Linked DNA regions of Neurospora crassa OR74A. The protein of the gene in region 1 purifies or fractionates together with the protein of each later gene. This does not show direct contact. Links are inferred from orthologs where the notes say so. Each region holds a gene or a part of one and is shown in the gene's direction. Other genes may lie near its edges.

Region 1 (4,087 bases):
AATCTACTCGGTCCGACACGACGACGATGGACGGATCTACCCCTCGAGATATCGACGCGATTACATATCAGATCTGATCAACACTATAGATGATGATGATGACGATGATGAAGATCAAGCAGCAGCCGCGCTACCTCCCGAGTTTTCGGCTGCATCCCAGCCTTTCAATGTCACGACCGAATGCAGTGATGACGAAAGCGAAGGAGACGAAAATCATTTGCGGCGTAGGCGAACCCCCAACAGGATTGGTGCTTTGCCTTTTGAAAGCGACAGTAGTGATGACGGAAGAGACCCATGGAACCCCAGCGGTTTGGACTGGACTGATCTCACTCGTGCGCGACACTCTGCTAGTTGGCGTAACGAATACGACACGGGAACCCCCGAACTTGAACGAGCGCGAGAAGCCTCGCAGGTGGCCACGCAGGAGGCGGTACGAGCCGTTGGCGGAGCGCTTATGTCTCCGCTGGCCCAATTCTACATTGAGAAGGACAAGAACAAGTGTACCATCAAGTTCGACCCGCCGGTGAGCGCGCGGTACATCCTGCTCAAGATGTGGAGTCCACATCCTGACCCTCTTAAAAATATTGATATCCAGGGGGTTATAGCGAAAGGCTTTGCTGGTCCGCAGCTATTTCCAGCCCAAACACTGCAATGAGACTGAGTCAAAGAAGGTGATCAGTTCTTGCAAGGCATGCATCATCCGGCAAAACGGGGTTGGCAAAATAAATGTTCGCGTCGTCTTAAATAGACTACTGGTCTCACGAGACTAGTGCTTGACGGTCAGCCGGGGGCAGGGGAGTTTGGAGTTTTGGTATAAATGCATCTTGTTTAAAGGCGATGATACTTGGATGATGGCTTTCAACGGTCATGGGAATTGGTATCAGCGGGTTATATGGAGGTACCTCACGGCATTATGGCAAAGTGCGCTTTCTCGTCAACTGAACCAGATGTTCCCCCAGCCATACGTTCCCTCTGCTAAGCTCATAACCCAAAATGACAACCGGGCTCCCTTAGCCACACTTTGGTTGTTCTCATTGTTGTCCTGTCGCTACATGGGCTGACGAGGAGAGGTTGTGAATCCGTGGGTTAGGGTTCATCATGAGCCGAGCGGACGAGTTCAACAAAAAAAGATAAGCCAAAATGAATTGTCCGGTATGTCGGCTTCTGGCATCTATGTCTATACCACCAGGATCCTGTGATCTTCTACACAGTACACTGCAACAGCAACTTCATTACATTTTGCAGAAGTTGAACTGTTGAAACAAGCCCCAGTCTATTCTACTACGCCCCGCAAGTGAGCCTCTTTGGGTACCTTGCATATCGCAACAATGATGAATCATAATGAAAATGGCGGTAGTGTACACTACCAAATGGGAAAGCCACTGCAAATCTGATTGGGCAAACAAGCTTTAGGAGGCGGTAATGGGGTCGGGTAGACGTAGAGGATAGCTTCCATGTCGCTGTAACATAGTGGGCTGTGTGGCAAGCCTTTTGCCATCCCGAGGGTGGCTAGGCACTGCTCGCGTAGCCTTACGAGGATTGCTCCAAAGTGTCTGAGTCACCGGTGATTGAAAATGAAATTGTATCGATGCAAGTGCACTAGAATTTCGACAAACTCATACTTCTCGATGGCAAAAATGGAAGGGTTTGAGTAGAGAGGTTGGGTTGGTAAGCCGCATGTATGCGTCCATGTCTTGTTGTTGAAGGCAAGTACTGGTACATACATCTGTAAGGGTCTTGGTACCCGCTTCCAAAAGCTGTGTGGTTCTTCCTCAGTCCAGATTCCAGATTTGATAGCGCCCCACTTTACACATAGCCTGGAGTCTGAATCCAGATTATATTTTCCTTCCATCGCCCACCCCACCAGTCGTCATTCGCGAAGCAGCAAAACGGCATTCTATACCTCCAATCTCCATTGCTTCAGTCGCATAAACTCAATCTCTCCGTCTCTATCGGAATACCACTTCACCCACCAAGTAAAGGAAGCCCACTAGGAGCACTACACAAGAAGAACCGAAGCCATGGCTGTCCGCGCCCAGTTCGAGAACTCCAACGAGTAAGTTTTGCTTGGCCTCCACGTTCCGAGATGGGGAATCGCGATGCGAAAATCGAAGATCTGCCCCGCCTGCCACCGACGACGACATCAATACCATGCTTCGACACCGCGACAGCAAGGCGACTCTTGAATCTGAATGGGGGGCGGAGGGTAGTTCTTCGGGATATCAAGTAGCAGACGCGCTAACATTGTCTGCTTTCTCAATAGGGTTGGAGTCTTTTCCACACTTACAAACTCTTACGCTTTGGTCGCCGTCGGTGCCAGCGAAAACTTTTACAGCGTCTTCGAGGCCGAACTCCAAGATGTTATCCCTATCTGCAGAACCACCATTGCCGGCACAAGAATCATCGGTCGCTTGACAGCTGGGTAGGCGCTTCTTCCCTCTGCATTTTTGATTGAACTTTTAGTCCCAAGTATCGGAGGGGGCGCAACCGAGAACCTGATTATGGGACATTGGTAAGCTAACCACGAGTAAAAAAAAAAATTACAGTAACCGCAAAGGTCTCCTCGTCCCCACTACCACAAGCGACCAGGAACTGCAACATCTGCGCAACAGTCTCCCCGACGACGTGCGCATACAACGTATCGAGGAGCGCCTGTCGGCCCTGGGCAACGTGATTGTGTGCAACGACCACACGGCGCTGATCCACCCGGATCTGGAGCGCGAGACCGAAGAGATCATTGCCGACGTGCTCGGCGTCGAGGTGTTCCGCCAGACCATTGCCGACAACGTGCTCGTCGGTAGCTACATGGCGCTCAGCAACCAGGGCGGCCTCGTTCACCCCAAGACATCCATCCAGGACCAGGACGAGCTCAGCTCCCTGCTCCAGGTACCGCTGGTGGCCGGCTCCGTCAACAGAGGTTCCAACGTCATCGGCGGTGGCATGGTGGTCAACGACTGGATGGCCGTCACTGGTCTTGATACTACGGCGCCCGAGCTGAGTGTTATCGAGAGCGTGTTCAGGTTAGGAGAGGGTGCCGCGCCTGGCCAGATCAACTCCAGCCTCAAGGATACCATGGTCGAGTCTTTCTACTAAATCCAATGGTTTTTCTTTTGTGGGCTTGTTTTGGAGTTGGTGTTATCTGTGCTTGGTAGGCAAGGAGAAAGGAAGGCAATGTGTGAGGCAGGAGGGAGCGGAGGCGAGAGATGGATGTGTAGGAGGCGGGATTCTTGTCAGGTATACCAACGACAATGGGTCGTTTCTGACATGCATGCTCAAGCGTGAGCAAACAAGGCGATTTTTCTTCCAATGAATGGTTCCTATGACTGGCGTTTTTGCGTGAGGATATGGATATGTGTGAAGATGACCGTGGTTGTGGCTCGGCCTGGATTGCGAGATTGCTTCGAGTTTTGGAAATGCCATCTGGAATGAAAAAAAGCTTCCAGTTGACATGGCCATGGCCGTTCAGAATAATCACGAAGTATAGATACTCTTCGAGGTTCAGTTAACATGTGACATATAAGTCCAGAACGCGGGACCAATGTCTTTGGGATTTGGGGCAAGGCACGGTTTTCTGCCAAGGGTTAGGGTTGTACTGGTAGTTCTTGGTTCACCTGTCATCCAGTGAAGAAGACCAACTGAAACTCCAAGCTCGTCCCCTATGCTCTATGACGGGATCATCACCTCCTTTTACGAATGCAAATCCAGACGCCAAGCGAGATGCCTCTTGAGACAATTCCCCATCATCAATGTTTACAAAAAAACCATCATGCAAAAACACAGTACGGCATGTACCACACCCGATGCTGCCTCGAGTGCCAGGGTTGGTTGCGATCGCGGCGGTTGCCAGCAAGCAGCGGTGATGCAGTGTTTCATCATGCACGATGATGTGGTTGTCCGTTCCAGGGACTCGTGGGACCCAGCATTCGTCAACACTTTGTTGACCTGACATGTCCATATGCATAGAATGGGGGGCTATAGAATGCGTATAATACCTACCACGAGTCCAAGTCCACACACAACGACATGGTAATCCACGGCGGCTACGTATAATGTCTCACTCGAGAATCCTGCTTCTTCTTCTGGAAAC
Region 2 (3,646 bases), on another chromosome or scaffold:
AATGTCCGAAAAGAAATCGATCCTGGAAGCAAACCAGGGTTGTCGGAAGCTGTAGGAAATTCCTGTATTAGGATCCGAAGTGATAACCGCTCCACTAACCAAGCTGATATCGTCCAAAGCCCGGGTTTTGGACGTTTCCCCTAAAAGTTCCGATTCCAATCACAAGACGACAATCTCGTATCAGATAAAGTACTATACCTCAAGGTAGGTATCGTCAAGATAACCATTTAGTGTGTCCGTATCAACACCGATAGTCAAAACTACAAGGGACGCCAAATCGTTAGATAGGTCGAACACATCCAGCGATTACATGCTTGGGAGGGTTTATTTTATCGTTTAGATACGACTCAGATGAGGTGGCATGTTCAAGGCGCATTTTCACCTGCGTAAGCGCTCCAATAAGATGGTACATGTTGTAGATGTCCCCGCGCTTCCTTCCTTTTTGTCACATGTCTCTGTTCAAGCTTTCCTCTCTTCCCCGCCCCAGACAGACCGCAATCCGGGGTAAAGGCCCAATGGTCGCCGCGGGGTTAGGGCGTGTAGATCTACCCCTGACTGTCACTGGATCCTGTTTTTGTTGCATTGGTCAACGGTTCACAGCCCTGACAGCTTCTTCCTCCCTCTGTGGTCGGAGTACGACACTGGTTGGTCCTCAGTTCCCCTTCTGCTTCCCCTAACTGAAGCAAAGAAAGTCCGAGGATTTTCACTTGCTGTCTGGCCAGGCGCGACCTGAGCTTCCCCTTTGGTGCTAACCTCCCCATAGAAGATACACTACTGTGCTTTTGGGTCTGGATGGCTGTCGGACTTCATGTGAACCTGATAGGCTTGACGGCCCGCTGGTATACGTTATCTACACTACACTAGACACTACACTAGAAAAAGATAACACAAAGTCCACATGACCATTTGCAGGGCTGAGAAAAAAAATGAAAGTTTGAGCGTATCAAAGTGACTAGCAAGACCGCCAGTTTTTCAAAGTAAATCCTTCAATGAAATCACAGTCTCTAGGCCACATGACAGTTGATGCGGTGAGGATGTCGTTAGGCCCGATGCCTGGTGGACAAAAGAAGCAGGATTCCAGAAGAAGTCCGGACAGAGTGGCATGGATACCAAGTTAGGGGAGAGTATGGGGATCAGGGGAAACAGCAAGCGGGAAGAAGGAGATCCCGAATCGATAGCGGAATGCGGACGGGCGGGCAAGGCGGGGAAGCGGGACGGAGGAGAATGGATGGAGCCGGATTCTACATTGACGGGGACCATCGAAATTTCGTGATGCACCTTCCGCCCTGCCGACGATGTCGCTGGTGACTGAATGCCATGCCCTCACGCTGCTGGCATCGACTCAGCTGTCACCTGTGACCACCGCAGAGGTTGCTGGGGAACGGGTGCGGCCGGGATGGAATTCGACTGCTGTCGGGTTCCTGCCGATCATAGCCGAATCCACAGTCACTAGCATGCACCAATCACATAGCGAGCGCATACCTCCCCGCATCTTGGCGATAGCTGGACAAGCCAAATGCCTGCCGCAAAGTCTTATCAGCTGCTTATCTCCAATTGTCAACTCTCGGAAGCTTGGTCCACCAGTTTTTTCTGCCGGGCGGACAAGATTTCGTTTCAATCGGCTTGAACTCCATCCACCATCATCTCCAGCCCAGCCTGCAGCAGCATCTCGTCGCCTCTAGGAAACCGATCCCAGTACTTCGTCTTTTTACACAGCGTATACCCAATTTGCGTTTTGGCCCTACTACAACACAACGAAACAGTCGAAACAATCGAGTTGAGTGGAAACACCACCAAAAAAAAACCAGTCAAGATGGCGTCGCAAAATATGCCGTTCATTAAGAACCTCGCCTCGAGCGGTACGTTTGCATCCCACTTTCCAGTACATACACTGCCATGTGATCGAAGTACAAGCTACATCACCACTTGGGATACTTGCCTACCTTGTATCTCTTGACAATACTACCACTTCTACATCCAATCACGTTCTATCTAAACTCAAAATGTATACCCAATTCCCCATTCGATAAGCCCTCCATCACTGACATTTTCTCCCTTTTCGATAGACAGCAAAATCCGCAAGTCAGCCCTCGCTTCCCTGCACACCTTCCTCTCTGCCAAGCACATTGCCACCACGCTCTCGCCCATCGACATTCTCAAGCTGTGGAAGGGTCTCTTCTACGCCATGTGGATGTGCGACCGCGCCATCCCCCAGCAGACCCTTGCCCAGGAGCTCGCCGATCTCATCTACATCCTCCCTCGGGAGTCCGTCGTCCCCTGGCTCAGGGGTTTCTGGGCGACCATGTCGCGCGAGTGGACGTCGATCGACGTGCTGCGCATGGAAAAGTTCTTGTTGCTGGTCAGACGGGTGGTGGGTGCTTCCTTTAGGTGGATGAAGGGCGCGCAGGATGGGAAAGCGGATGTCAGTGCTGCTACTGCTACCAAATCCAACAAAAAGGGTGGGAAGAAGGGAAGCGGAAAGGAGAAGAGCGCGTGGGACGCCAAAAGAGTCGATCAGGTTCTCGACATACTTGCCGAGTGGCCGTTTGCGCTGGACGAGGACGTCAAGGAGGATAGCGATTCCGAAGAAGAAGAAGAACCCGAAGCCGACGAGGACGACGAAGATGCCAAGCCCCAACACGAATCTCTCAGGAAAGAGAAACCCAAGAAGAAGGAAAACAAGGACCCGCTTCACCTCCTCGCCAAGAAGATACCCTCGGGACTCAAGATCCACGTGCTGGATATCTGGGTGGACGAGGCCGAGAAGGTTGGCATGCTGGACTTTGAGAGCGACGAGGAGGCGCTCAAGATTGTGCAGCGGATCATCGAGAAGATCGAGGAGCTGGAGCAGCGCACGGTCAGCCCCGCGATAAGAGTGAGGTCCAAGGACTCATTGTCGGATGACAGGCTACCGGGGAATGACAAGAAGCCTGTGGAGAAGGAAGATGAGGGATGGGGCGGGTTTGATAACTGATTTCGTTTTGTAAAAATGGTTTTTGCTGAGATATCATGGCTGCTGGCGTAATAGAGTTGCTTTGTTTGATTTCGTTCCCTTGAAATACATTGCATTGTTGACCAATGTCTTGAATCGTGAACCTCCTCATGACTTTCAATATATCACAATGTTACCCAGGAGACTCCTAGTTTATAAGTAGTAGTTTGAAAAGTAACTGATATACATCAACCTTGGTTTAATTGTTACTGAAACACCATTCCACCAAATTTCATGCAAGGTATCTGATTGGTGTCAACGAGATGCGTTTTAGGTACTCTCTATACTCGTATCTAATTCTTTCGTCTATCTTCACAAAATAAGCCTAATGTGTGGCTCCACAGAGCTCGTCCCGGACACCCGGCGAATCACTTCCGGAAACTCATCTACGATGCGCAATCTTGCCGGCAAGCCGCGTATAAGCCTGCTCAACCTCATCGGGAATATCCACATGGACGATGGAGCCATTGCCCTTGGGACCATAGCCGTATTCGTCATCTCTCAATCGCGGAATCTCGCCCATGACCAGCTGCAAGAAACGGTCCATCTTCCACATCAATGCTTCGTTGACCGGCGGTGATTCGTATGCCAGCTGCCCGCTAGTGCCGCCACCGCTGCGCTTTACGCGAGGAACAAAGATCGGACAGCCGAGGA
Region 3 (3,554 bases), on another chromosome or scaffold:
AAAGATGTTTCCTTGTCAACTCGTTGCCATAAATCGTGTGTCCAAGTAGTACGTACATAAGTACTGAGAGGTATACCTCCTCGCCGCTACCACTCCCCACATCCCGCTCGACATGTATCCAACTACCCCCTCATTTCGACTAAACCTCATGGCTAACGAAGTCTACGCCTAGACTTAACAGGAAGGTGACTATCCCAAGCATGGCCCCCCTCATCAAGTTCTGAATATCTCCATGTTGCATTGAGGTTGGATGGGGTTGAAGAAGGAGGGGGAGGTGGGTAAGATGTTGAGTTCTGCTGCGAACTATGGGCTGGGCGTTTGAAGAGAGAGGAGTTGGGGAAGAAAAAGCAAGACCTCGGTCGCTGTCTAGGTACTTGTATAGGCAAACGTCTAGAACACCATGAAAGACAATTGGCTGGCCACTACAGTACACCTATGTATGTCGAACGGCTTCCCATTCTGCGCAGTGTTCTTCCGGGCTCTGATGGGCATTGGCCGGCATGTAGCAGGGTGATGATGACCGAGGCACTTGAAATGAACATGTCAACAGTTAGGTCGCATACTACCGAATGTCTTTGGAAGTACAAGGCTGACATTTGAAGGCGGGTTGGATTTGAATAAAAAAGAAATGAAATTTCAGGCATGACCCGCGTGCCTGCGTCGAATGGATAGTGGCGGGGGCCATGGAGGGTGTTTTGGGGATGGGATGAGACGGGAATCAAGTTGCCCTACCGGAAAACTTGCAAAGTGCGTAGCTAGTTATTTAGCAATGATTACAAGTCTGTTCATATCTCCAATGGGTAATGATCATGGTGACAATGGTGAGGTGGTGACTGGCGCGGCCGCTGGCGCCTCACCAGTTGCGAGCAGAACAAGAAGCCGCGGCTATGATGGCCGTGAAAGTTAGGGTCCAATTCCGAGGAAATAGTCGTTAGGTAAGTTGCCATCATCACCCTTGGGAGAAGGATTGTTGATGAACGAACTGGTGACGGCAATAAAGGCAAGCAAGATACAAGAGGATTAGAAACGGAACCTGAGGAAGCGGTATTTATGTACGTGCTTACATACAATACACCACTTACACTACCTAGGTACACACTTACGCAGTAGGGACTGTATCTTTATTACGGCCCTCTTGCCAGCTGGCGACTGGACTGAGGGAACGTACCCAAGCTTGCCAAGTAACGAACAACCTGTAAGGTCGATAAGGGACAACAGCCCCACTATAATTCTCTTATCGGACAGGAGCCATTGCAGTTCCAGTTCAATCGAGTTCTCTGGGGTGGTTTCCCCCGAAATTTTGGTCAACTTCCGCCTTCGTTGTTGTTGTCGCCGTCATCGTTCTTTGCTGGTTTACTCCCATTTCGCCTTCTTCTTCCCAGCATCTTTTGGCAGTCGAACTCCTGTCCTTTCAGCAACACCACATAGTACCTACTTCCCGAAAACCACAGCAACAATGGGCAGAGAACTTCAGAAGCGCAAGAAGCGCTCGTCTCGCGCCAAGGTCCAGACGCATACCATCAAGAAGAAGGTCTTGAACCCCCAGGGCAGCGGCATCGTTGCCAAGGCCTGGTAAGTACCTTTCTCTTCTTTTTGTTGCCAGATATTCGAGAGGAGATTCAGTACTGACATGCAAAAATTGATGTACTACAGGAACAAGAAGGAGACCCTCTCACAAAACTACTCCCGCTTCGGTCTCGTCGCCAAGCTCGGCACCGCCGCCGGCGGCATGGCCAAGAAGTCCGCCGCCGCCAACTACGCCGGCATCACCAAGGATGATCCTTTGGCCGTCAAGTCGGCCGATCGCGGCCTGTTCGAGGTCCGCGAGGTCAAGGTCGAGCGTGACGCCTCGGGCAAGATCGTCAAGGTCCTGCGCTCGGACAACCCGCTCAACGACCCGCTCAACGAGATCGAGTCCGACTCCGAATCCGAGGAACCCAAGCCCAAGAACCCAACCCATGATATCGAATGGCACGGCATCAGCGACGACCGCCAGGAGATGATTGCCCAGAGCAGCCGGCCCGAGGTGGTCCGGATGCTCGAGGAGGAGGCGTCGCGCCCTGTGGAGAAGACGGTGCGCTACCAGAGCGAGCGCGAGCTAGAATGGCTGCAGCGACTAGTGGCTAAGCACGGCGACGATGTAGCTGCCATGGTGCGCGACATCAAGTTAAACCCGATGCAGCAGACCAAGGGCGACATTACCAAGCGGTTGAGGAAGGCTGGCTTGTTGCAGTAAAGAAGCGGACGAAGAAACGAGGGAGGGGAAGAAGGGGGCAAATTGCATGCGCGAGTGTGATGTGAACTTCATCATCACTGGAATGTGACTGCTTCTTGCAAGGGGATGTTCTTGGGATCACCGGTGAGCTCGGTTTGTGGTCTGAAGATAAGGGTAGAGATGAGGGAGCCTGGCGACAAATGCCCGGACCCATGTCCAGTCTCGTCCTGTAAGCTGGGCTACGAGAGTCGGCGGGAGGGAGAAAGAGCGACCCAACACGGCTGATCCTTCAGCCGAGATGGCTCTGCTCGACAGGTCTCGAAAGAAGAGAGCAACGGATTTTGTCTTTCTCTCTTTGTCTCTCTTTCTCTCTCAGACTGGTATAATGCCAGTTAGACTCTCCCCGCTGTCGCCTCATCATACTTCGCTTCAGGGGGCGACCCTCTCGTGGAATGGGGAACTGGCAAAGAAACAGGTGACGGAGCTACTTCGGCTCGCGCTCCCTTGCTCAACGGTAATGAGCAAAAGCAAAACGGATGATGGGACGGGAACCAGGATTTCTTGTGCAGCATACATACTATTCATTAAGGCCACGGGCGTTTTAGGCGTTTCTCAAAGTACATGAAAAGAATTAGGGCCATTGAGCCATCCACATATATCGTATCATATCTTGTTTGTCACCTAGAATCATGTTCTACGTAGATCTCCACAAATATGGGAGAGTTTAATAAGAATGACACAGATACAAAGCATTCCATGAAGCCGATATGAGAGCTTTGTGATTCATTGTTGATGCACGAAGATATCTCTCTCGTTTCTATGCATGATAAACCAACAAGGACCTGTGACGCCTCGCCAACGACACCCCATAAAACAAAGCCTACACACATACATACACAAGAAAAAGCCCAAAATGTTTCGTCTAGTGCCAGCCAGCCCCCAATAACAAAAAAAAAGAAAGCAGGTAGCCAAGACACTTTGTACATGACCTAAGCATGCTGCAGCGTATAGCTACCCGGTATTGCATCCGCTTCCAGATCCAAAGTCGATCAGTCCAGCTCATCCATATCCCTTGACTTGAATTCTCGACCCTTCTGTTTTTTTTAATCCCATTCTTACACATTCCCCCGTTCGATTCCTACTCGGCCGTAGGGCGCAGTGGGAAACCTTGCCGATGGCTCATCCTCGTAGTCCCCATCATGCACACTAGGCGGCGCGTACCTGCTGCCGCCGCCGACGGAGGATTGATAATCGTTATCGTTGTCAAACGGGTTATCCTGTCTGAACGGGTTCTCGGACGGCGCCACCGAGCTAGCGCCGTACCGACTGGTTTGGCTTC

What was found. The genes of interacting proteins can lie anywhere in the genome.
Region 2: the proteins of NCU09004 (region 1) and NCU07942 purify together in Saccharomyces cerevisiae (affinity purification with mass spectrometry; 3 studies listed by BioGRID). This does not show direct contact. The link is inferred for Neurospora crassa OR74A from reciprocal best matches to the Saccharomyces cerevisiae genes TIF6 and RRP1.
Region 3: the proteins of NCU09004 (region 1) and NCU09528 purify together in Saccharomyces cerevisiae (affinity purification with mass spectrometry, with the first as the bait; 3 studies listed by BioGRID). This does not show direct contact. The link is inferred for Neurospora crassa OR74A from reciprocal best matches to the Saccharomyces cerevisiae genes TIF6 and NOP16.

The regions. Positions count from the first base shown.
Region 1 is NC_026503.1:4,190,734-4,194,820, reverse strand, and holds NCU09004 (eukaryotic translation initiation factor 6), read left to right. Parts: upstream 1-1,621; 5' UTR 1,622-2,021; coding exon 2,022-2,056; intron 2,057-2,263; coding exon 2,264-2,422; intron 2,423-2,546; coding exon 2,547-3,093; 3' UTR 3,094-3,580; downstream 3,581-4,087. Other genes in the region: NCU09005 (hypothetical protein), read left to right, coding at 1-655. UniProt on the Saccharomyces cerevisiae protein: Binds to the 60S ribosomal subunit and prevents its association with the 40S ribosomal subunit to form the 80S initiation complex in the cytoplasm. Is also involved in ribosome biogenesis.
Region 2 is NC_026504.1:1,277,346-1,280,991, reverse strand, and holds NCU07942 (hypothetical protein), read left to right. Parts: upstream 1-1,603; 5' UTR 1,604-1,813; coding exon 1,814-1,859; intron 1,860-2,066; coding exon 2,067-2,974; 3' UTR 2,975-3,074; downstream 3,075-3,646. Other genes in the region: NCU07943 (DUF218 domain-containing protein), read right to left, coding at 3,375-3,646. UniProt on the Saccharomyces cerevisiae protein: Required for 27S rRNA processing to 25S and 5.8S.
Region 3 is NC_026505.1:4,474,453-4,478,006, reverse strand, and holds NCU09528 (nucleolar protein 16), read left to right. Parts: upstream 1-1,287; 5' UTR 1,288-1,456; coding exon 1,457-1,572; intron 1,573-1,653; coding exon 1,654-2,236; 3' UTR 2,237-2,982; downstream 2,983-3,554. Other genes in the region: NCU09527 (hypothetical protein), read right to left, coding at 3,331-3,554. UniProt on the Saccharomyces cerevisiae protein: Involved in the biogenesis of the 60S ribosomal subunit.